Linked DNA regions of Macaca mulatta. The protein of the gene in region 1 purifies or fractionates together with the protein of each later gene. This does not show direct contact. Links are inferred from orthologs where the notes say so. Each region holds a gene or a part of one and is shown on either strand. Other genes may lie near its edges.

The links. The genes of interacting proteins can lie anywhere in the genome.
Region 2: the proteins of RUVBL1 (region 1) and NOP58 purify together in Homo sapiens (affinity purification with mass spectrometry; 4 studies listed by BioGRID and IntAct, with this or other methods). This does not show direct contact. The link is inferred for Macaca mulatta from reciprocal best matches to the Homo sapiens genes RUVBL1 and NOP58.
Region 3: the proteins of RUVBL1 (region 1) and DPCD purify together in Homo sapiens (affinity purification with mass spectrometry; 6 studies listed by BioGRID and IntAct, counting the BioPlex papers as one, with this or other methods). This does not show direct contact. The link is inferred for Macaca mulatta from reciprocal best matches to the Homo sapiens genes RUVBL1 and DPCD.
Region 4: the proteins of RUVBL1 (region 1) and H2AZ1 purify together in Homo sapiens (affinity purification with mass spectrometry; 6 studies listed by BioGRID and IntAct, with this or other methods). This does not show direct contact. The link is inferred for Macaca mulatta from reciprocal best matches to the Homo sapiens genes RUVBL1 and H2AZ1.
Region 5: the proteins of RUVBL1 (region 1) and SHQ1 purify together in Homo sapiens (affinity purification with mass spectrometry; 3 studies listed by BioGRID and IntAct, counting the BioPlex papers as one, with this or other methods). This does not show direct contact. The link is inferred for Macaca mulatta from reciprocal best matches to the Homo sapiens genes RUVBL1 and SHQ1.

The regions. Positions count from the first base shown.
Region 1 is NC_133407.1:155,849,073-155,854,106, reverse strand, and holds the start of RUVBL1 (ruvB-like 1), read right to left. Parts: upstream 3,351-5,034; 5' UTR 3,272-3,350; coding exon 3,131-3,271; exon of another isoform or gene 2,035-3,130; intron 711-2,034; exon of another isoform or gene 538-710; intron 1-537. UniProt on the Homo sapiens protein: Possesses single-stranded DNA-stimulated ATPase and ATP-dependent DNA helicase (3' to 5') activity; hexamerization is thought to be critical for ATP hydrolysis and adjacent subunits in the ring-like structure contribute to the ATPase activity.
Region 2 is NC_133417.1:107,447,649-107,451,674, reverse strand, and holds the start of NOP58 (nucleolar protein 58), read right to left. Parts: upstream 2,801-4,026; 5' UTR 2,737-2,800; coding exon 2,692-2,736; intron 2,159-2,691; exon of another isoform or gene 1,958-2,158; intron 1-1,957. UniProt on the Homo sapiens protein: Required for the biogenesis of box C/D snoRNAs such as U3, U8 and U14 snoRNAs. Part of the small subunit (SSU) processome, first precursor of the small eukaryotic ribosomal subunit.
Region 3 is NC_133414.1:113,662,868-113,667,113, forward strand, and holds the start of DPCD (protein DPCD), read left to right. Parts: upstream 1-1,446; 5' UTR 1,447-1,498; coding exon 1,499-1,562; intron 1,563-2,578; exon of another isoform or gene 2,579-2,660; intron 2,661-2,796; exon of another isoform or gene 2,797-3,267; intron 3,268-4,246. Other genes in the region: POLL (DNA polymerase lambda), read right to left, coding at 415-529. UniProt on the Homo sapiens protein: May play a role in the formation or function of ciliated cells.
Region 4 is NC_133410.1:109,266,998-109,270,842, reverse strand, and holds H2AZ1 (H2A histone family, member Z), read left to right. Parts: upstream 1-1,204; 5' UTR 1,205-1,260; coding exon 1,261-1,263; intron 1,264-1,693; coding exon 1,694-1,771; intron 1,772-2,049; coding exon 2,050-2,163; intron 2,164-2,496; coding exon 2,497-2,626; intron 2,627-2,906; coding exon 2,907-2,968; 3' UTR 2,969-3,345; downstream 3,346-3,845. UniProt on the Homo sapiens protein: Variant histone H2A which replaces conventional H2A in a subset of nucleosomes. Nucleosomes wrap and compact DNA into chromatin, limiting DNA accessibility to the cellular machineries which require DNA as a template.
Region 5 is NC_133407.1:136,344,080-136,348,153, reverse strand, and holds the start of SHQ1 (protein SHQ1 homolog), read left to right. Parts: upstream 1-1,274; 5' UTR 1,275-1,349; coding exon 1,350-1,492; intron 1,493-4,074. UniProt on the Homo sapiens protein: Required for the quantitative accumulation of H/ACA ribonucleoproteins (RNPs), including telomerase, probably through the stabilization of DKC1, from the time of its synthesis until its association with NOP10, NHP2, and NAF1 at the nascent H/ACA RNA.

The DNA.
Region 1 (5,034 bases):
TTTGCAGTACACGTGTGTATATATACATACACATATTCCATAAATGGGCTACGGACCATCATATATTTTAGAATATTTGACTATAAGGGGGGAACACTGAGAAAGTTACACTAGCTGAGCATCTATATCTCAAGACTGCATAATATAAGGTTTGCTACACTGATTTAATAACTGAATATGTGACTATCTAAAAGGTGCTCTTCTCTCTGGGCAGTGACCACACTGCCAGAGTCTTGTGAATACATCTTACCTCTTCTACCTCTATTCCTCATGGACAGTGAAGTACCTTGGTCTCACACTTATAGCAGCCCCTCAAAAAATATGTCAGGACTACAGGTGCCTGCCACCACACCCAGCTAATTTCTTGTATTTTTAGTAGAGATGAGGTTTCACCGTGTTAGCCAGGATGGTCTCAATCTCCCGACCTTGTGATCCGTCTGCTACTGGGGAGGTTGAGGCAGGAGAATGGCGTGAACCTGGGAAGTGGAGCTTGCAGTGAGCCAAGATGGCGCCACTGCACTCCAGCCTGGGCGACAGAGTAAAGCTCCCTCTCAAAAAAAAAAAAAAGAAAAGTAAGGAATATGTGTGTGTATGCTATATCCATCCCATTTCCACTTCAGTTACCAAAGCACACTGCCCTTAATAGAACCTAGAAGATATTCTTCAGATGCTACTTTTTCAGATGGAGTCTCACTGTCACCCAGGCTGCAGTGCAATGGCGCAATCTCAGCTCACTGCAACCTCCGCCTCCCAGGATCAAGTGAGTCTCCTGCCTCAGCCTCACGAGTAGCTCAGACTACAGGCACATGCCACCACACCTGGCTAATTTTTGTATTTTTAGTAGAGACAGGATTTTGTTATGATGGCCAGGCTGGTCTCGAACTCCTGACCTCAGGTGATCCACTTGCCTTGGCCTCCCAAAGTGCTGGGATTACAGGTGTGAGCCACTGCGCCCAGCCCAGATGCTATATTTCTAAACAGATAAAAAGCCTAGCCAGGCGCGGTGGCTCATGCCTGTAATCCCAGCACTTTTGGAGGCCGAGGCGGGTGGATCACCTGAGGTCAGGAGTTCAAGACCAGCCTGGTCAACAAGGTGAAACCCTGTCTCTACTAAATATACAAAAATTAGCCGAGCATGGTGGTGGGCGCCTGTAATCATGGCTACTCACGAGGCTGAAGCAGGAGAATCACTTGAACCCGGGAGGCAGAGGTGGCAGTGAGCCGAGATCGCACCATTGCACTCCAGCCTGGGCAACAAGAGCGAAACTTCATCTCAAACAAAAACAAAAACAAAAACAAAAAAACCTACTATGATCTTTCCATACAACCTTGTCATATAATCCTCAGCACTGAAGCTCTTTGGAAAACTCAAGGTAGAAGAGACTTTACAAACCTTGGATATGTGCTTTTATTTACAGACCAGGACCTCTTCCATCTATTCTCCCTCAGTTTCCACTCCAACTTCTCTCAGGTGAGATAAGCTTGAATTCTAACATTTAAAAAGAATTGGAAGGGTCTTTAAATGATCACCTAGTCTAACTCTCATTTTTCAGGTTACTGATGTGACCAGAATCACACAAGAACCTGGTAGCTGAGGTGGGTCTTAAGCATACAACATCAGTTAAGAGCATGGACTCTGGGATTAAATACATAGACTTGAGTTAAAATACTCTCCCACTTACCAGATGAGTAACCTTGGACCTACTTACTTGACCTCTATGAACCAGAATTTCCTCACTTGAACAGAGTTCATACTAGTCAATGGCACACATGTTAAAGGGTGTAGGGGTGAAGTGTAGTGATGCCTGCAATTCACCTTGAAATGTAAAAGTGGATTGGGAGAGGCACACATGGAAAGATATATGATAAAGCAGCATAGTAAAATGTTAATCATAGAATTTAGGTACACAGGTACTTACTATACAAGTCTTTCAACTTTTTTTGTATGTCTGAAAACTGTCATACTAACGCAGGGAAGGGACAACTAATTCGTTGGATATGACAAGGCAATGGACACACAGCTACTTAGCACAGTGCTTGGCACATGGAAAGCACTCAACCAATGTTAGCTACTTGCAGTAATAGCTGCTTAGTAAGACAGGGTCAAACACTTCCTTTTTGGAAAGATGATGCTCAAAATGGAAACCCGAGGTTTTTCTTTTGAGCCCTTTCTATTTAGAAAAATCAGGCTAAGAGGCAGTAGCTTAACTTTGTATTAAGTGAAGATTTTTGTACAAGCTAAGGCTCTGCAAAGGCCAAGGGGCATGGCTGTGACCTCAGACAACAGCAGGCAGAGAGAGTGGCTATGTCATCATAGAGCACTGATTTGGGAGTCAGAAATACATGTGAGCGCAAATCCCCGCTTTACCATTACTAAAACGAGTGTCAAGTATATGGTGAAGTGCCCTCTCCCCAACTCAATATTTTCACCTGCCAAAAACCAATAATGTATGTGAAAGTACTTGGCATCACTAGCACTCAGAAAAAGGAGATTTAATTGGAATGGTCAAAAAGGATGCTTGGAGGGATAAATAAACCAGATTGCTCTTCTCCCTAATTCCCACTTCTCTCCCTCAGCTCCCGGGTCCTGGGAACCAAAACGAGCTTTTAAAGTTTAGTCAATTCCCTACTTTAAACCGTCCCACGGCCTGCCAGTGCGTTCACAATAAAATCCAATTTCCTTACCGTGGCCGACAAAGTTCTGCAGTAACTAACCCCACCAAGATAATCATTTTTGTTTATTGATGTACACGTTTATCGTCTCTCACTACACTAAAATGTAACCTCCTATCTTATCTCCCGCTGTATCCCGGGAAATAAGTGTCGCGAATAGAGCTCAGCATGGATTAAGGGGACGGGGTTGTGTGGGTTTCCATTAGTACTTGTCCATGAGTTGAAGCAAACCGTCAACTGGCCCCAGTGGGTGGTCATTAGTTTTCCTGGGGCGGCCCCTCACCCAGCTCCAGGGCGGCGCCCCTCCCCGAGCCCCTGGCCTATTTTCACTTCCCTGAGGCAACTATGGCGGGAGACCCCTGGCGCGCGCATCCCGCCCCGAGCCACCGACTTCAGCAGCTCTCTCGCCGCAGCAGCCCTGCTCGGAGCCCCCAACTCCCTGGTCCGCTGGCCACACCTCTCGCGCGTTCTCCTGGCCCACGAGCCCTGAGGCCGCCTGCTTGGCCAAGCCGCTCTCGTCCAGCCCCAGCCCTTTCACGTGGCTGTGGGAAGCGATGCGCTGCGTTTTCGTGGTGCTCTTCACCTCCTCAATTTTCATTTTGCGGACGCCGGGAGCTAAAACCAGCGTGGAAAACCAGCAGATAGGACAGTGCGCCCAGCGCCCGAGTTACCATGCGGCCGTTACTAGGGCAATTTGCAAAGGCCCGCCTAGGTTGGCCTTCCATTGGTGGAAGCGGGAACGCCTCCGCTCTCCATAGGCTCACGGCTGCGCCCATCGCGGCTGCTGCTGGAGCTCCAGTCACTCACTTCCGGCTGTGTCTCTGGGTTGGCTTCCCCCGCAGCCGGCGCTTCCTGCCCAGGCTGGGGTCGGTAGCACAGTGGGACCACGCCCCGGATTTGATTTCGGGCTGGGGCGTTGCACGAGGTAGTGGCCCCCGGGTACCACTCCTAATCCTTCCGTCCTATCCATTATCACGTTTGAACGTCATACTCTTACGCGAAGCTCAAGTTATTATTTCCGTTTTGGAAATAGAAGAACTGAGGTTCAGAGCTTAAACTGAGATTGGTTACTAACCAATGTTTTCTGACTCCCAGACCTTTGCATCTCGTCTGGAAAGGCCCAGCGCAACCCACCACTCCTTCCGTGGAATTGTCTTCCCCTGCTTCTAATCTCCATCCTCCGCCGAGAGATAAGGTTCCTGCTAAGTTCAGTTCAGTTGACTGTAAATAACATTTTGCAGTTTTCAAAACTCTACAGCCCTGTAAGGTAGTGTAATTACGAATGCAGCTACAGACAAGCAGAAAGAGGCCCATCCGCCCAAGAAAGCACCACAAAGAATCAGAACTAGAAATCTTCAGGCTTCAAAACCTATATAATAATGCTCATACTGTCCCATTATTTCAGCTGAGACAATCAGCCAGCAAATTGTCCCTTCAGGTTTCATAATGATATTCGCACAACCTGCACCACAATTGTACTTGTCATCCATCCATCCATCCATCCATTTAACAAACACGAGCCAGACACCACAATGCACTGGGGATACAGGGATAAAAGTCTTGATGAGCTTACTCCTTGCTTAGAAAACTTGTAACATGAGATGTGGTGAGACAGGTACACCCAGGTGGCAAGAAGACCAGAGCAGAAGCCCCAGGAACAGCCTGGAGAGCCAGGGAAAGCACCATGAAGGTGATGTTGCCTTGGCTGAATTCTGACAAATGGGCGAGATTTCCTCAGAAGCAAATGGTATGACACCATTTTTACAGAAGAAGATACTAACATCCAGAGGAAGGGAAGGACTTGCCCAGAGTGCAGGAGAGTTTATATTAGAATTGAGACAGACCTGAAATCACACTTCCTTGTACATCTTGATTCTAAGTTTTGAATCTAGGTTTCTATATTTTTTTTCTTTTCTTTTGAATCTAGGCTTCTAGTGATTTGCATAATTACTGGGTCAATGTTTGTCTCTCCCAGTAAACTGCAGGCCTTTTGAGGGTGTAGACCACATTTGATTGTTTACCATTTTAACCTAAGTGCCTGGCACACAGCCTAAAACACAGCTCACAATTAAGGCTTCTCATGAATTCAATTAATGTTCTAGACCACACACAAACACATACACTTGAATTTATCAGTTTTGCTGCATGTATTTTATACGGTGGCTTTTGTAGGTCTTGGTAATGATTTCCATCAGAGAATGGAATCTTCTGGCATTTTCAGGGCCCAAAAGAACAGAGGCTCAGGCGGCCTTGGAAGGCTGAGGTTGTTACTAGTGGCATGTGGTTCATCAGCACTAGAGACAGCACCTCACAAAGTTGCTTAGCCCCTCATTGACTTGTTCCTGGTCATTACTCTTAGAT
Region 2 (4,026 bases), on another chromosome or scaffold:
AAAAAATTATGCAAAGAAAGCTGATCAGTGGTTGTCTAGAGCAGGACTAACTTGAAAATGGGCAAAACTTTTTGCAACAAAGTGTACTAGAAAACTGGACTGCAACTAAAACCTACAGGCGAGTTATACAGTATGTAAAGTACCCCTAATAAAGTTAGAAAAAATATATTGCTCAGTGCCTAGGTTTTATACAGACATTTGGTATATAAACCAAAAATCTTTCTCCAAACCTTGAGAAAACGAAGTGACACAAAATGCTATGCTACACAGCTACACTGTACAATATAACCATTAAAATTCAAATAAGTTAAAATGCACTTCCTCAGTCCTATCAGTTATATCTCATGTGAAATAGTTATACGTACTAATGGCTACCACATGAGGAGCAGCCGAAGAAAGTCTGGTATGAGCAAGACTAAAATCTTATGCTGTGTGCCACGTGACACAAGGACACAGGTGTAAATTTTTTTTTTTTTTTTGAGATGGAGTCTTGCCTTGTCACCCAGGCTGCAGTGCAGTGGTGCGACCTCAGCTCACTACAACCTCTGCCTCCCAGGTTCAACTGATTCTCCTGCCTCACCCTTCTGAGTAGCTGGGATTACAGGTGTGAGCCACTGCACTCGGCCACAGGTTGAATTTTTATAATATCTTAGAATTAATCACAAAAGTTGCTTTACACAATGTCTTTATATTAATATATATACATATATATAACCCTGTTAATGAACAATAAAGTTTTGAAGTGTTTTCCTTTCGAATCGCTCTAAATACGGAAGTGGGCAGAACACTGTACCTCATGCCTGTAATCCCAGCACTTTGAGGCCAGGAGTTTGAGACCAGCCTAGGCAACATAGGGAGACTCAGTTACTTAAAAAAAAAAAAAAAAAAATTGTAGGCAGACCATTGATAAGCCAATTCCTTCCTACCATGGGAGACAACCAGTGCACTGTGCACAGTTGCTCCTCTTAACATCCGGTTCAGGACAGCATATTGTATCAATTAACGGTGAAATTCGTCGACAGACACTGACAGACCACATTGGCTAAGAGAATTTGGAGCTATGCAGAACTCTACATGAGATTTTAGATAAGATTCCAAAAAGCTGGAGAAAAGTAAAATTGACATGTTTCGTAGCTCTAAAGGGGACTAAGTAACTTAAAATCCTTAAAACTACTAACACTGCAATTACAGATAACTCCAATTAAGGTAAAAACAAGCAAAACTGCCTTTTCGGTTTTAATGATTTTATTGGTTTTCTTAAAAATAAGTATTTGACGTATCAAATGCAAACTGCATATTTTCAAATGTCAGAAGTGAAACATGGAGAACTCCGCACCCATCTAGACCTTCTGCATCCACACCACAAATGGTTTTTTTTGGTTCACAGCTAAAATTGTATTGCATTTATTTTTATCTAGCGTTTTTTGCTTTCTACCAACATATATATACGTAGAATATACATAAAACTTTATTTTTCATTGCTATATTCGCAGAGCTCAGAAAAGTGCACGGCACAAAAGGCACTCAATCTCACTCATTCTTACTGACATCTCAACAGCATCTTGCGATACGAATGTCTTACCGTTCAACCATTTCAGTGCTGACGAACTTGTCAAACTCTCCCCATGAAAACAATCAAATCTCAAATTGACATCACCAGCCCAGATTGTTTCCCCTAAGCTTCGAATTTGAAATACTGAACTGCCCGATCTACACAACTGCATTATCAGGTCTAATAAACATTGCAAGCTTTGCACAGCCCAAACCGGAAATCTTTCGTCCTTCCCCCGCAAGAAACTTTCTTAACATCTTATTTAAACCAAAACTCCAAATTCAATCTATCAGCCAATCCTTTCTGTTCTACCTTCAAAATTTCTATCGATATTTGTTTATCTCCATACCAGGCAATTTCATCTTGTCTAAATGAATGCAAAAGTATTCTTGCTGCCTTTCTTACCTCCTCGAGTCTAATCTCCACATAGCAGAGTAACCGTATTAAGACCAATTAGCAGGTCATTCCTTTGCTTAAATCCTTTCGATCGGCAGAGCACGGTGGCTCACGCCTGTAATCCCAGCACTTTGGAGGACGAGGCAGTTGGATCACTTGAGATCAGGAGTTCAAGACCAGCCTGGCCAACATGGTGAAACCCTGTCTCTACTAAAAGACAAACAAACAAACAAACAAAGCAACTAGCCAGGCGTGGTGGTGGATGCCTGTAATCCCAGCTACTCGGGAGGCTAAGGCAGGAGAATGGCTTGAACCCGGGAGACGGAGGTTGCTGTGAGCCAAGATTGCGCCACTGCACTCCAGCATGGGCAACAAGAGCGAAACTCCATCTCAAAAAACAAAACAAAACAACAACAACAAAAAAACCTTTCGATCATTCCTTAAAACATCTAGAAGAAAATCCGAATTTCCTATAACTATACTGTTAAATTCTAACACGCCTCCTGCCCACCTCTTCAACGGAGGAAATAAAATCCTTTAACGCAGAACTGGTCTCCCCAAACGGCGGGGCCACGTGTTACCCGTAACAAGGCTCTCAGATGTAAAGGCCTTCTCCCTCCTCTCAGAGCCCGGGCCATAACAGGCACCCACGCTACCCTGAGTAGTTCTGTGCTTAAGTCTTTCCCTCTCCTTGTCTGTCCAGCACCCGCCTTCCCCCTTTAACGGCTCGCTCTCCCACCTACCTTAAAGATGGCGTAGCCCACAGACGTTTCAAACAGCACCAACATGGTGAGGCCGGGTCAGGGCGCCGCACGGCCCACCACGAGCTGTGGACTCAGTTCAAAAACACCGACTACGCGGCCCCAAAAAGTCCCCTAAGCCGCGGCGGGCAAAGCACAAACGTGCTAGCCGTCCCGCAGAGAATCAGAACACGTTACCTAAGCTCTCCACGCTGTACTGGGACTAGGACGCAAGAACGCGCTTCTCCTTCTCTAAGGATTCTGGGATAGCGACGTCACTTCCGACAGAAGACTGCCGCAGAGATTGCCGTCACTTCCAGAATGTTCCCGCCACACGGGGCTGGGTCGGGAGGAGAAAGTTTGTATCGTGGGATCTAAGGACTGAACGGAGCCTTTGCGCCTTTTTTTCTTTTTTCTTTTCTTTTTGAGACGGAGTCTCGCTGTGTTACCCAGGCTGGAGTGCAGTGGTGTGATCTCGGCTTACTGCACCCTCCGCCTCCCGGGTTCAAGCAATTTTCCTGCCTCAGCCTCCGGAGTAGCTGCGACTAGAGTCACACACCACCATGCCCAGCTAATTTTTGTATTTTTAGTAGAGACAGGGTTTCAGCATGTTGGCCAGAATAGTCTCGATCTCTTGACCTCGTAATACGCCCACCTCGGCCTCCCAAAGTGCTGGAATTACAAGTGTGACCCACCGCGCCCAGCCTTTTTTTTTTTTTTTTTTTCTGTTTTGAGACAGCCTTGCTGTCCCCCAAGCTGGAGTGCAGTGCCACCATCACGACTCACTGCAACCTCCAACTCCCAGGCTCAAGCGGTCCTCTCACCTCAACCTCTCCAGCAGCTGGGACTACAGGCCTGTGCCACCACACCCAGCTAATTTTTTGTAGAGACAGGGTTTCGCTATGTTGCCCAGTTTGGTCTCGGACTCCTGACCTAAAGCGATCCTCCCACCTCGGCCTCCCAAAGTGCTGGGTTGCAGGCGTGAGCCTCCCCTAGAGATTTAAAGGGGAAAAATTTCACATTCTTATTTTGTTAACCCTCTATGAATTATATGTTTACTTTGAGAGAAGCGTGGAGCTGTCTCGGTGCCTGTCTGTCTCAGGCATCTAGAATTTGAAATGCCAGCTACTGCCCTTAGACTTTATCTCCTTTCAAGCCCTTCCTTGAGGCGAAGGCCTCAGAATGACACCATTACTGTCACTATATTTGTAAGCATTCCTGGCCATTCTGTCTGGCCAAATTAATTATTAGCACAGTTTTCTCTCAATGTTCTCCCATGTTTGCTGCATTTGTTAAAATGACCCAAGGGTGTGAATTTAGACTTTTTTCTTGGTTTTT
Region 3 (4,246 bases), on another chromosome or scaffold:
AACAATGCACATTTCTTGCCCTTACACTCTGACAGACCCGACAACCCTGCCTCCAAAGCCTCTGCTATTTATTTATCAATTTGGCTGCAAAACAACTAACAACAATCCTGGGTAATGGAGGGGGGTTTCTGTCCCAGTCCCCCAGGGCAAAAATTATACTGGTCATTCCCTGAGGGTCCAGGGAGTCTTTTCCAATTGATAGGGGTGTTCAGGTAGAAAAGAAGATAACACAGCAAATGGCCTGTCCAAGACCCAGGACCAAGCTTAGTACAAGGCAGATACAAACAGACCTGCAGTCCATGGACAGGCAGAGTCAGCTCCAATATCTGATTCTGGACATGAACAACATAGGGCTGAAGCACATGAAGGCTGAGGGTTCAAGCGCATGAGGGTTCTGAGAGTGGGTCATCTCACCTTCTGCTTCTTCTCCCTCTTCCTTCCTGGGAATCTTTGCAAGTACTTTTGATGATGCATCAGCATGAATTTTCTTCCGTTTGGGAAACGCCTTCAAGATACCCCTGGGATCCATTGAAGTACGGCTGCATCCCAGCCTGTTGGAGGGTTGGTCAGGGCTGCTGTCAGGTGGAAATACAGAATTAAGGATCTCCAACCCCTTTGCCTATGGAGGTAGGGGGTAGCAGCCCAGTTTGGGGAAGCGGGAGGTTGGGGGGGATCTCTTCAAACCCTGTTAAACTAGCTTTTTAGCCTAGCTTCACACTCCCCAGTCTTTCAAAGTTGGAGTATTAGGGGAAATGAGGGGAAGGCTGGAGCCATCGGGGGTACTTTTAAGGAGTAGGAAACTATACCCATTCCTCAAAGGGGTTGCTCTAAAGATTCAGCACAGCCCTCCTGCTGCGGCCCACTTCGAAGGGCTTTACCAAAATGGGATGCTGGGCTAGGAAATGGAGCTTTAGGGGATGGAGCGGAGACTGGGGAGGACCTGCACATAAACTCCACATACTCTTTTTCTACCTCCAACACAGACTTGCAGAGGAAAACCTGAGGAGGCGGACTTTCGCGGGTGAGTGGGAACGCCCTGCACCTGCCCTGGTCTCAGCCTCTCGACATGGGGATGCTCAGCGCCGCAGCTGCGGGGAGATGGGGCACGGCCGCAGCAGGTGTGGGGAGCCCTCCGGGAATGGAGGAGTCTCGCAGCTGGGGGTGAAGACCCAGGCAGGTGTGGTGTACTCGCCCTGTACGCAGCTGGCGCAGGCCAGGGAATCCCAGCTCGGGGCTAGTAGAGAGTTGGAGTGCCCAACCCCGGCGCCAAGAGTCTCTCTCCAACCGCCAGAGTCAGTCCCCGGGTGCGGTCGACAACAGGCCAAGTTGGTCACCCGAGGGTGGGCAGGAGTAGGCCACTTACCAGGAGAGCCAATGAGAACGGACGAAGGGGGGAAGGAGGGCAAATGCCCAGAATAGCTTCCGAGTCAGCCGGAAGTGACCTTCAGTGGAACGGTTGCCATGGCAGCGGCCGGGCGGGCTGCTTAGCACAGGAAAGATGGCGGTGACGGGCTGGTTGGAGAGTCTGCGGACAGCCCAGAAGACTGCACTGCTGCAGGACGGTAACTCGAGGGTCCCCGCGAGCTCCTTCGTTTTTTTCCCCCAGGGTCCGGCCCTCCGGGAAGGGCCTCAGGGCCTGGGTCGGCAGAGCTGGAAGGGTCTCGGTGGTCAGCCGGGCCAGGTCCTGCATTTGCGGATGAGGAGACTAAGGCTCACAGAGATGACATGACCAGAACACATGTCTCCGGACACCCCTTAAATTTCTCTACACCATCTCGCCCCGCTCTGAGTTCTGTTGCTAATATAGTAATTTCTTTTACATTCGTTATCTCATTTGCTCCTCACCACTGTCCTGAGAGGCTAATTTTCCACCCCGTTTTACAGAAGAGGAAACTGAAATCCAAGAATGTTTTGGACTTTAGAGAGGAGAGAGGCCTGGGCTCTAGTTCCGACTGTGCCATTAATTCACCACGGGCTCTCCAGTCGGCACCTTTACTTGTTTGGGCCTCACTTTCCTCATCTGTAAAATTAAGTGGATGGACTACCGTTGTTATCTCTGAGGTCCTTTCCAGCTGTAATATTTTTGTTAAGTGAACCTCTAAATGTTTTCTGTGTCTTAAGGGGAGCTAGAGCAAGGACCAAGGGCTGTGCATGGAAGAAGTGGGCACAGGGGCATGGATATCTAACTTTTCCTCACCCTAGGATTGGCCGATGTCAGCCCCCTGTGCACTTGGGTCCTTTCTGGACCCACTGGGTAACCAGGATGAATTGTGTCTGAAGTTCCTGAGACTTTCAAGATAATAGCTGGTGATTCACATTCACAGGCAGAGGCCAATCAGGGAAGCCTGGAGTTTGTGGAAATTAAAATCATTTACTCGTTCGTGCAACATTTAGGGAGGCTTTTACTATGTGCCAAGCTCTAAACTAGAACAGAAAGAAAAAGATATGTTGTCACAGGACTTGGACTGGTTGGGAAAAACATGTATTTAAGTAATAAGATGTGTTAAATAGAGGTTGTAGTCTTGTATAAAATGGTAGGAAAGAGTGAAGGTGTAAGCGACATGTCTTTGGAAGAAGACCCAACAGAAGTGATGATGTTTCTGGGTCCTGAAGAATTAATAAGGCCAGGCATAGTGGCTCACGCCGGTAATTCCAGCACTCTGGGAGGCTGAGGCGGGTGGATCGTTTGAGCTCAGGAGTTCGAGACCAGCTTGGGCAACATGGCCAAACCTCATCTCTTCAAAAAATACAAAAATTATGGCCAGGTGTGGTGGTTCACGCCTGTAATCCCAGCACTTTGGGAGGCTGAGGTGGGCGGATCCTTTGAGGCCAGGAGTTCGAGACCAGCCTAGCCAAGATGATGAAACCCCATGTCTACTAAAAATGCAAAAAAATTAGCCAGGCATGGTGGTGTGCACCTGTAATTCCAGCTACTCTGGAAGCTGAGGCAGGAGAATCGCTTGAACCCGGGAGACGGAGGTTACAGTGCACTGAGATTGCACCACTGCATTCCAGCCTGGGTGACAAGTGAGTAAGACTCTGTCTCAGACAAAAAACAAACAAACAAAAGACAAAAATTAGCCGGGCATCACGGTACATGCCCCGTAGTCCCAGCTACCTTGTGGCTGAGGCCAGAGGACCACTTGAGCCAGGGAGGTAGACGCAGCAGTGAGCCGAGATCATGCCACTGCACTCCAGCTTGGGCGACACAGCGAGACCCTGTCTCAAAAAAAAAAAAAAAACAGGAAAAAAAAAAGAATTAAAATAGGTGTTTGCTGAGTGAAGAAGAGGGGATAGCTATTCAAGGAAGAACGACTCACATATAAGGGCCCATATGTAAAGGTGTGAAGGTACGTGCCTGATTACTAGGGGAGTAACAAAACGTTTAGTAATGTTAAAGCAGTCACCCAGTCAGAACAAACCACCTGTAACTATGTCAGGTACTATGCTACATGCCAGGATAGAAGGGAGAATAAAAAGGTCCCTTTTCTCAAGCAGCAATAAGGGGATGTTGTGGAAAATGAAGAGAGGTTACAGATAAATTAGGACATATTGTGATAGATTTCTTATGCCTTGCTAAATATTTAGGACATTTTCTCATAGGACAGTGGTTTTCTGTTTTTATTGTGGTAATAAATACATCACAGAATTTAGCATTTTAATCATTTTTAAGTGTACAGTTCTGTGGCATTAAGTGCATTCACATTGTTGTGCAACTATCACCACCATCTTCAGAACTTTTTAATCTTTCTCAACGGAAATTTTTTTCTTTTTGGAGACAGGGTCTTGCTCTGTCACCCAGGCTGTGGGGTACAGTAGTACGATCATAGCTCACTGCAGCCTTGAACTCCTAGGCTCATGTAATCCTCCCACCTCAGCCTCTTGAATAGCTGGGACTACAGGCATGTGCCACTACACTCAGCTCAAGTGAAATTCTGTAAATCAAACGCCAACTCCTCATTCCCTCCTCCTCCCATCCCCTGGCAACCACCATTTGACTTTCCGTCTCTATGAATTTGACTGCTCTAAGAACCTCATCTAAGTGGAATCATACAATATTTATCTTTTTGTAACTGGCATATTTCACTTAGCGTAATGCTTCAAGGTTCATCCATGTTGCCACAGTTGGATGCTTCCAGCTGTGCCGTTAATTCACCACAGGCTCTCTAGTCGGCCCCTTTACTTGTTTGGATCTCACTTTCCTCATCTGTAAAATGAAGTGGATGGGCTACGATTGTTATGTCTG
Region 4 (3,845 bases), on another chromosome or scaffold:
ACTGTCCCCAAGCAGCTGGAGATATACGTAGGTGTTAATAATCTACTAGTTGGAAGGATAGTACTGTGTGTACAGTATCATTATTTTAACCTCATCATTTGCAGTTGATTGCATTGCACCGACCCTCTGTAACTGCCTGTGAATCATGTCAGAGTTACTCCGTCGACATTTGCCGAACATTTGTCATGTGGCAAAATATTTATTGTAGAAAAGTTGACACATAATAGCTCTGAGGTTTCACTAAATGAGCTTTACACATCAGGCTACAGGTACAACTCATTGATGTGTAGTCTCCAAAAAATACGGTTTATGATTTAAGAATACTGCCTCGCCAGAAGCTCCTTAAGTGTAAACAAAAAGGGTTTCGTGACCAGTGAGGTGACTTGGCTTCACCGTTTGCTGTTACAGAACTATTCCGTGGGGGATTTCATAAGTAGTGAGGGAGAGGTGGAAGACCCGGCTGAAAATAAAGTGGGAGCAACCCGTCCTGATCTGTTGTTGGTGACTGGGGATTCGCCTAGAGGGAAGAAACACGGAATCTCTACTAAGGCTGAGGAAGGCGTCAGGGCAAACCTCAGCCTCCCCTCACTGGACGCGTTCGCGCCACCTGTCAGACTGGAAGAGCCGCCAGGGATTGAGAGGGTCGGGAGAGGGTGCCCGGGGCCCCGGAAGGCGGCTGCAGGTCGCAGGTCTCCGCCCGAGAGGCGCTGGGGGTGGGGTTGGGAGCGGTGGGGGCTGCGTGCTAGATACGGACGAGACTTCACGTGGTCTCCAAAGCCCTGCTAGGGGACCCGGGGCGCTACCGCGCGCCCCTCCCCTGAGGTCTCAGCTCCTCCTCCCCGGCACGTGACCGCAGCTGGCTGGTAACTGCGCTCCCGCAGAGTAGCTTGCTCTGTTTCTTCCCTCCCGCCGCGGTGCCCTTCTTCTCCCCCGTTCCCATCCCTCCGCCCTCCCCCGCTTCGCTCCTCACGTCCCAATCGCGGCTTGAGCTTAGAAGCGCCCGCCCCTCCACCCTTTTCTTTGCTTGCTCATTGGCTGAAGTCTCAAGGACGCGTCCCGAGGGCGGGTGGCAGCCATTGGTGGGATGAGCAATCCGAGTTCCCGGATGAGGGAACATTCTGCAGTATAAAGGGAGCAGGGAAGGCGGGAGACAGCGCAGTTTGAATCGCGGTGCGACGAAGGAGTAGGTGGTGGGATCTCACCGTGGGTCCGATTAGCCTTTTCTCTGCCTTGCTTGCTTGAGCTTCAGCAGAATTCGAAATGGTAAACTTCGCAGAGACGCTCGATGACTTCGCGGGTTTTTGCCGGCGGGAGAAAAACCCGTTACACGGGGGATGGGGGTGAAGTGGCGACGGTTGGGAACGCGCGGAGACAGGATTAAGAAGAGCGGGGGGAGGTGTTTTGTCGGCTGCTAGCGGAGCAGCCTCGGATCTCGCGGCGGGCGGCGACGGTTGGGTGGCGCGCGCAGCGCCGCTGGGGGCCGGCGGGCGGGCGGAGGCGCGCGGCCGCGGCGAGCGCGCGGCGGGGGGCGGACGGGCGGGGTCGCCCCTGCGGCGCGCCGCGGGCCAGAGACCCCGGCGGGGTGCGGGGACGCGCTCGCGGCGGGACGCGCCGCGGTGGGGGATGGGCGCGCCGCCTTGGTAATTCTATATTCTCCGTTCCTCCTCCGCTCGCGGGCGTGTGCGCGCCGCAGGCTGGCGGTAAGGCTGGAAAGGACTCCGGAAAGGCCAAGACAAAGGCGGTTTCCCGCTCGCAGAGAGCCGGCTTGCAGGTCAGTAGTTGTTCGTGCGGTCTGGGAGTCGTGATGTTTTTCTTTGCATCTCCTTTTTTGTTATTCACCGCTCTCCATGGGCGTTTCGTCTATGCGTGGGTGATGCGGTGTCGCGACTTGGGCTGCCCATACGATAAATATGGGGGGGAGGAATCACGTGTTTCGATGTCGGGACGCGTTGCTGCGCCCGTGCCACTTGCTTTGGCGCGCATATAATTTCCCCATCTCTAGTTCTCCTATTTTTGTGCATTTATGTTTGTGTATGCTTAAAATTTAAGTTCCCAGTGGGCCGTATTCATCGACACCTGAAATCTAGGACGACCAGTCATGGACGTGTGGGCGCGACTGCCGCTGTGTACAGCGCAGCCATCCTGGAGTACCTCACCGCAGAGGTAAATGGGTGAACGCCTATAATCCGGAGAAGGTTTGGGGGGCGGGGAGACGGCAAGAGGGAAGGAGGAAAGTGATGCAAGAAAACTCACAGGCCCTGAACGCGGCGAGAGGCCTAAGAGAACGCTAGAGGGAGCTGCTGTTCAACAAGGATCCTACTGAGCTTGAGTTCTCTGCTCTTGGAATTAAAATTGCGTGCCCCCTGTATATCTTGCCAGTCAGATAGTGGGGAACGACTCCAGTTGGTAGATAAGCGTTTGTGAGGGTTTTATTCTGTTCTCTGAATCTTGGCCAAAGGAAAGTTGGAAGGGAACTGATTAGATTCTGCCTTCTAGGTACTTGAACTGGCAGGAAATGCATCAAAAGACTTAAAGGTAAAGCGTATTACCCCTCGTCACTTGCAACTTGCTATTCGTGGAGATGAAGAATTGGATTCGCTCATCAAGGCTACAATTGCTGGTGGTGGTATGTTAACTTCTAAAATTTTTAAAAATTTCTTCAGAGGAAGGAATTCTTTGCTGCTTTAATTTCATTAGTTTTTCTAGAAGAGAAAATTTAAGTATATTTTCATTGATGCAAGTATGGTTTTATCATGAAATTTGATTCATATGTATAACTGAATTTTTACTTCATACTTGAGCTGCACGTTTTTAAAGATACTTGAACAGTATACTTTTTTTGGTTTCAAATACTGTGATTTTAAAAAAAAAATCTTAAGTAGAATTAATTCCTGTCACTCTCCTAGGTGTCATTCCACACATCCACAAATCTCTGATTGGGAAGAAAGGACAACAGAAGACTGTCTAAAGGATGCCTGGATTCCTTGTTATCTCAGGACTCTAAATACTCTAACAGCTGTCCAGTGTTGGTGATTCCAGTGGACTGTATCTCTGTGAAAAACACAATTTTGCCTTTTTGTAATTCTATTTGAGCAAGTTGGAAGTTTAATTAGCTTTCCAACCAACCAAATTTCTGCATTCGAGTCTTAACCATATTTAAGTGTTACTGTGGCTTCAAAGAAGCTATTGATTCTGAAGTAGTGGGTTTTGATTGAGTTGACTGTTTTTAAAAAACTGTTTGGATTTTAATTGTGATGCAGAAGTTATAGTAACAAACATTTGGTTTTGTACAGACATTATTTCCACTCTGGTGGATAAGCTCAATAAAGGTCATATCCCAAACTAGTTGTGTATTAAATTGGCTTGATTGTAATATGAATTTGTTTTGAATATCTAGCAGCAATAACTAAGCACATTTCTTTGTGACTGACCTGTCAAATCTAGATCAACAAAGTGAGATAGACCAAGTATATATTTTTAATGTTATATAATAAGCTACTAAAGTTTTAATTTAAAAAGTTGTCAGGAGCTGGAGTGGGAGCATTTCAGTTTGTGCATTGACTTTGCTTGCTGTGTGACAGCACTGCACTAGTATGCTGTTAGTGTGGTGGACTTGGGGAGGGAGAGAATAGGTAGGAATGTCCTGTATATCCACATAATGAACTCCGAATTTAAACTCTGAAGCTAATAGTGCTACGTGCTAGGCCCTGCTTTGAAGTCTGAAATTGAAATTGTTAAGTGCTCAGTAACATCATTGGGGATATACTATCTCCATTTTATTGAAGAGAAGCAGGCTTTCTTATTTGAAAGTACCGAGTTCTGGTGGTAGTTGGAATTAACAGCTT
Region 5 (4,074 bases), about 20 Mb from region 1:
TGCTGCAGTGCTAGCACATAGTAAGTATTCAGTTAATGTTAGCCCGTTATTTTTTTTTTCTGAGTCCTAATGAAATTTCAACAATGTTTCCTTAGAATCATAAAACAGTTGGAGATTGAAAAGTCTTTTGAAGTTTTCTGGTTATCTCCACTGTCCTAGGATATGACTTTCATCTCCTTTCCACTGATACTTAAAACCATGGAATAAATACCGCAACTGGATTATTCTAATTAGTGGTGGAATAACAGGAAACGACATGTGTGGAAAGACCAAGGGAATATGTGGGGGAAGAGGGAGACTAGTGGGAGAGGCACGGAGAGAGTATAAGGGGCACACTCCAAGGGGAGAAAATACAGGGAAGACAAGTAGGAAAAAAAAAAAAAAACAAAACACAGAAAAGATGTCCTCAGACAAGTGTAAGGACAAGAGTGAGAAAAAGGAAAGAAGGGGAATACAGAGGGATCTTAATTTGTGAATGCAATCACCGACACGGTGTAAGAGGCAAACGTTCTGAGTTCTAATCACTGTAAAATGCATGGTTATAAAATATACTCTTAACCTCTGTGAGTCGTTTTCTTTAGAGTTTGCAGCGTGGATTAGATGAGATTAGTGGGATGGATGATCTGTTAAAGAGAAAACTCTTCAAATAAGCGGTTAAGAATGAGAGAGAAAGCTGCAGAAAAAGAGAAGTGGAAAGAGAGAGGGAGGAAAGGGAAAGTGTAAGAGGAATTGTTAATAAGGCAGGTGAGGACTAAGGGAAACCACTGTAACGGTGCTGCTGTGGCTACTGCGGTGACTACTTCAGCACATCAAACGTTGACAACTTGCCAAGTTCGTTATTAGAGTTCTACATGCACAACTTCATGCTACCCTCATAGCATCTCTATGGGGCCAGGTTCTCGTATCATCCTCGTTTCACAGAAGATATAGAGAGGTTTTGTAACTTTCCCAAGGTCTTACAGCTGGGAAGTTGTGGCCAGGAAGGGATTCAAACGCACGTCTGTCCACCTGCCAAGCCAGTGTTGTTAAAATCATCTCTAAAAACCTCGCAAAAGGCTTGGTTGCTAGTCATCCGGTCGGTCCAATGCCTGGGCCCAGGCACCACTCGCCACGTCCTTTCTCCTCCCGGCGGTTTCGAAAGTTCCACCTCTTCTCGAACGGCGTCCCGTCTCCGTGGAGATCGGCGTGGGGCGGGACTTCCTGCCCCACGCGAGAGCACTTCCGCCTCGAGCCGGAAGCTCTGTGGCTCACACCGCGGGTTCCTGCGCGTGGGGAATTGTAGAGTTTGCGTGGCGGGAACGCGGCGGCAGTGAGAGCGAGTGGCGCCGGCTGTTGCGTCCGGTGCGGCGATGCTGACCCCGGCGTTCGACCTCAGCCAGGATCCGGACTTCCTGACCATCGCCATCCGCGTGCCCTACGCCCGGGTCTCCGAGTTCGACGTCTACTTTGAGGGGTCCGACTTCAAGTTCTACGCCAAGCCCTACTTTCTCAGGCGAGTTCTGGGTGCCTGGCCGCAGGAAAGGCGCATTCGTTAGATAGCGGCTTTAGAGGGAGAATGCAAGGTCGAGAGAGCAGTTCTCGATTGCGCGAATGCCATTTCCCGACGTTTCCACAGCTTCTCTTGGTGACAGGGCAATGCCCTCCCTCTTCCAGGGGTGCGTTTTAGATGCTGCAGAAGCCCTTTTCCTTCTTAAGCTTTCTTAAATCCCACATCAAAGGATTGCGGAATCACTTGAAAAAGTGGCGTTTGGACCGTGTCACTTGCCCGTTTCTGCCCTGTCGCCCTAGTTCTCGTTCCATTTTGACTTGTTCTGTTCTTTCACTCCGCGTTCGCTCTCCCAGTCTCTCCCTCCCTACGAACGGCGCGCGCTGACATCCCCGTGACTTCCCAACCCATCGGTCCTTTTAACTTTGCTCAGGCAGCCTTCTGTTGATCCATCTCTTGTCTGTCCCCTCCCTACTTCCTGAAATTCTTACCTTTTTTGGACCTCTTGACACCATATTAGCCTAGTTCTCGTGCTTCCCTGCTGTCTGCTGCTTCTCTGTTTGGTTTTGCCCCTGATGTGTGGTTATTTCCCCCAAGTCTTCGTGAGGGGCCGTCAGTACTTGATCTGTTTAAATTATTCTCCTTGCAGAATCGTAACCTTAGTAGCAGCTAACACTGATCACCCGCAGTGTGGTGGACAAGCAGTTCCGTTAAGTGCTTTGTAATGCCGTATCTCATTTAACTTTGACAGTGTTGCTTAGGGATAAGCACTGCTATTAACCCCATTCCACAGAACCCGCTGCTACATATTCATCGTAAAGCATTGCCAATCTTTTGTCCTTCTCTTTATCCATCCTCCTAATTTTTCTCAAGTGCAGCTGCAGCCTGCTTTTCCCACCCAAGTACTTTTGTGATACAAACCTTCTCCACCAGTCAAGGTGGTTTTTTCGCTGTTCCTGAACCAGTTTTGCTCGGATTTCCCTTATACCGTGTAACGTACCTATTTGAATATATTGCAGTTTCCAGTTTCTTAATTCACTTATTTCTTTAGTTTGTTTATTGAGTTTCAGTGTTGGGATTATTGCGCTGAACAAGACAAAGTTCTGCCCTCATGTACTTTACACTGGGGAGAGGAAAACAATAAACTAGCCGTCTACCTAATTGTGGCAGGTGCTATGAGGAGAAAGAAGTGCATGATATAGAATGAAAAGGGGCCCATATTTTATAAAGTAGTCAGGAACAGCCTTTCTGGGGAGGCGATATTTAAGCCAGGATGTGAAGAATAGGAAGATTATGGTGGTAGCAAATATTTATTGAATTTTTACTCCAGATTGGTGCTTTATACGGATTATCTCATTTGTTATTAGGAGAGTATTACAATGAGGTTTTATTATTTACCCGTTGCCGTGGATGGATTATTTATGGGCACCCCCCCAACTCTTGCCCCCAAATTCATATGTTGAAGGTCTAATTCCGGTGTCACTTCTGCTTTATTGTATTCATCAAAACAGTCCCAGAGCCTGCTGAATTTTAAGAGGAGGGGACATAGACCTTCATGGTTGGGAAGAGTGCTGTGAGATGGGCATTCTTTGAAAATACAGTTTGCCCCCAGGTGTGGTGGCTCACGCCTGTAATCTCAGCACTTTGGGAGGCCAAGGTGGGCAGATCACTTGAGGTCAGGAGTTTGAGACCAGCCTGACCAACATGGTGAAACCCCATCTCTACTAAAAATATAAAAAAATTAGCTGGGCTCGGTGGCACGCACTTGTAGTCCTAGCTACTTGGGAAGCTGAGGTGAGAGAATCATCTGAACCTGGAAGGCGAAGATTGCAGTGAGTCAAGATTGTGCTATCGCACTCCGGCCTGAGTAACAGAGCAAGACTATGTCTTAAAAAAAAAAAAATACAGTTTGCTGTGGCATACCAAGGACGAATAAAACCTGGTCCCTCTCCTTGAAGAACGGAGAGTGTAGCTGGGGAGGCACCCTGTAAGCAAATATGATTTCCTATGCAGTAAGAATTGAACTCTAGGCTTTTAGAGTTTAGGGGAAGGGAGCTGGTAATAATAGCTATTTTCTGAATGCTCACCTATTGTGCCAACCACTGAGCTCTTTGCATTTTCATTTCATGCTCATAGTAACTCATGGATAGTTACTGTTATTTCCCTCCTTTACAGAAGAGAGATTTATGATTCTTGAAGAATGATTAACTTGTACAAAGAAGGTTGTTACACATCTAGTAAATGGCAGATCTGGGAGTTAATTCAGATTCTGACACTAAAGTTAGTGTTTGTAACCATTATAACAAACTCATCCATAAACTGACTCCTTATTCTGGCTTAGAGGGATTTTCATTCTGAAAATGTATTGAAGCTTGAGGAAACCTTGGGACTAAAGGCTCTGGGCTGTTTGGGACTGTCAGGTGTTTTTGTTTTTAATTGTATTTAATGGGAAAGAAGGGGGAGGGCCATGGGAGGAAAGGAAGCTCAAATTTCAAGTTTGGAATGATACGGAGTGGGCCTGAGATGCCCTTCTGATGAGTTTAAATTATCTAGGCAATATCAGGCAGCCATAGACGTTTTTTAAAATA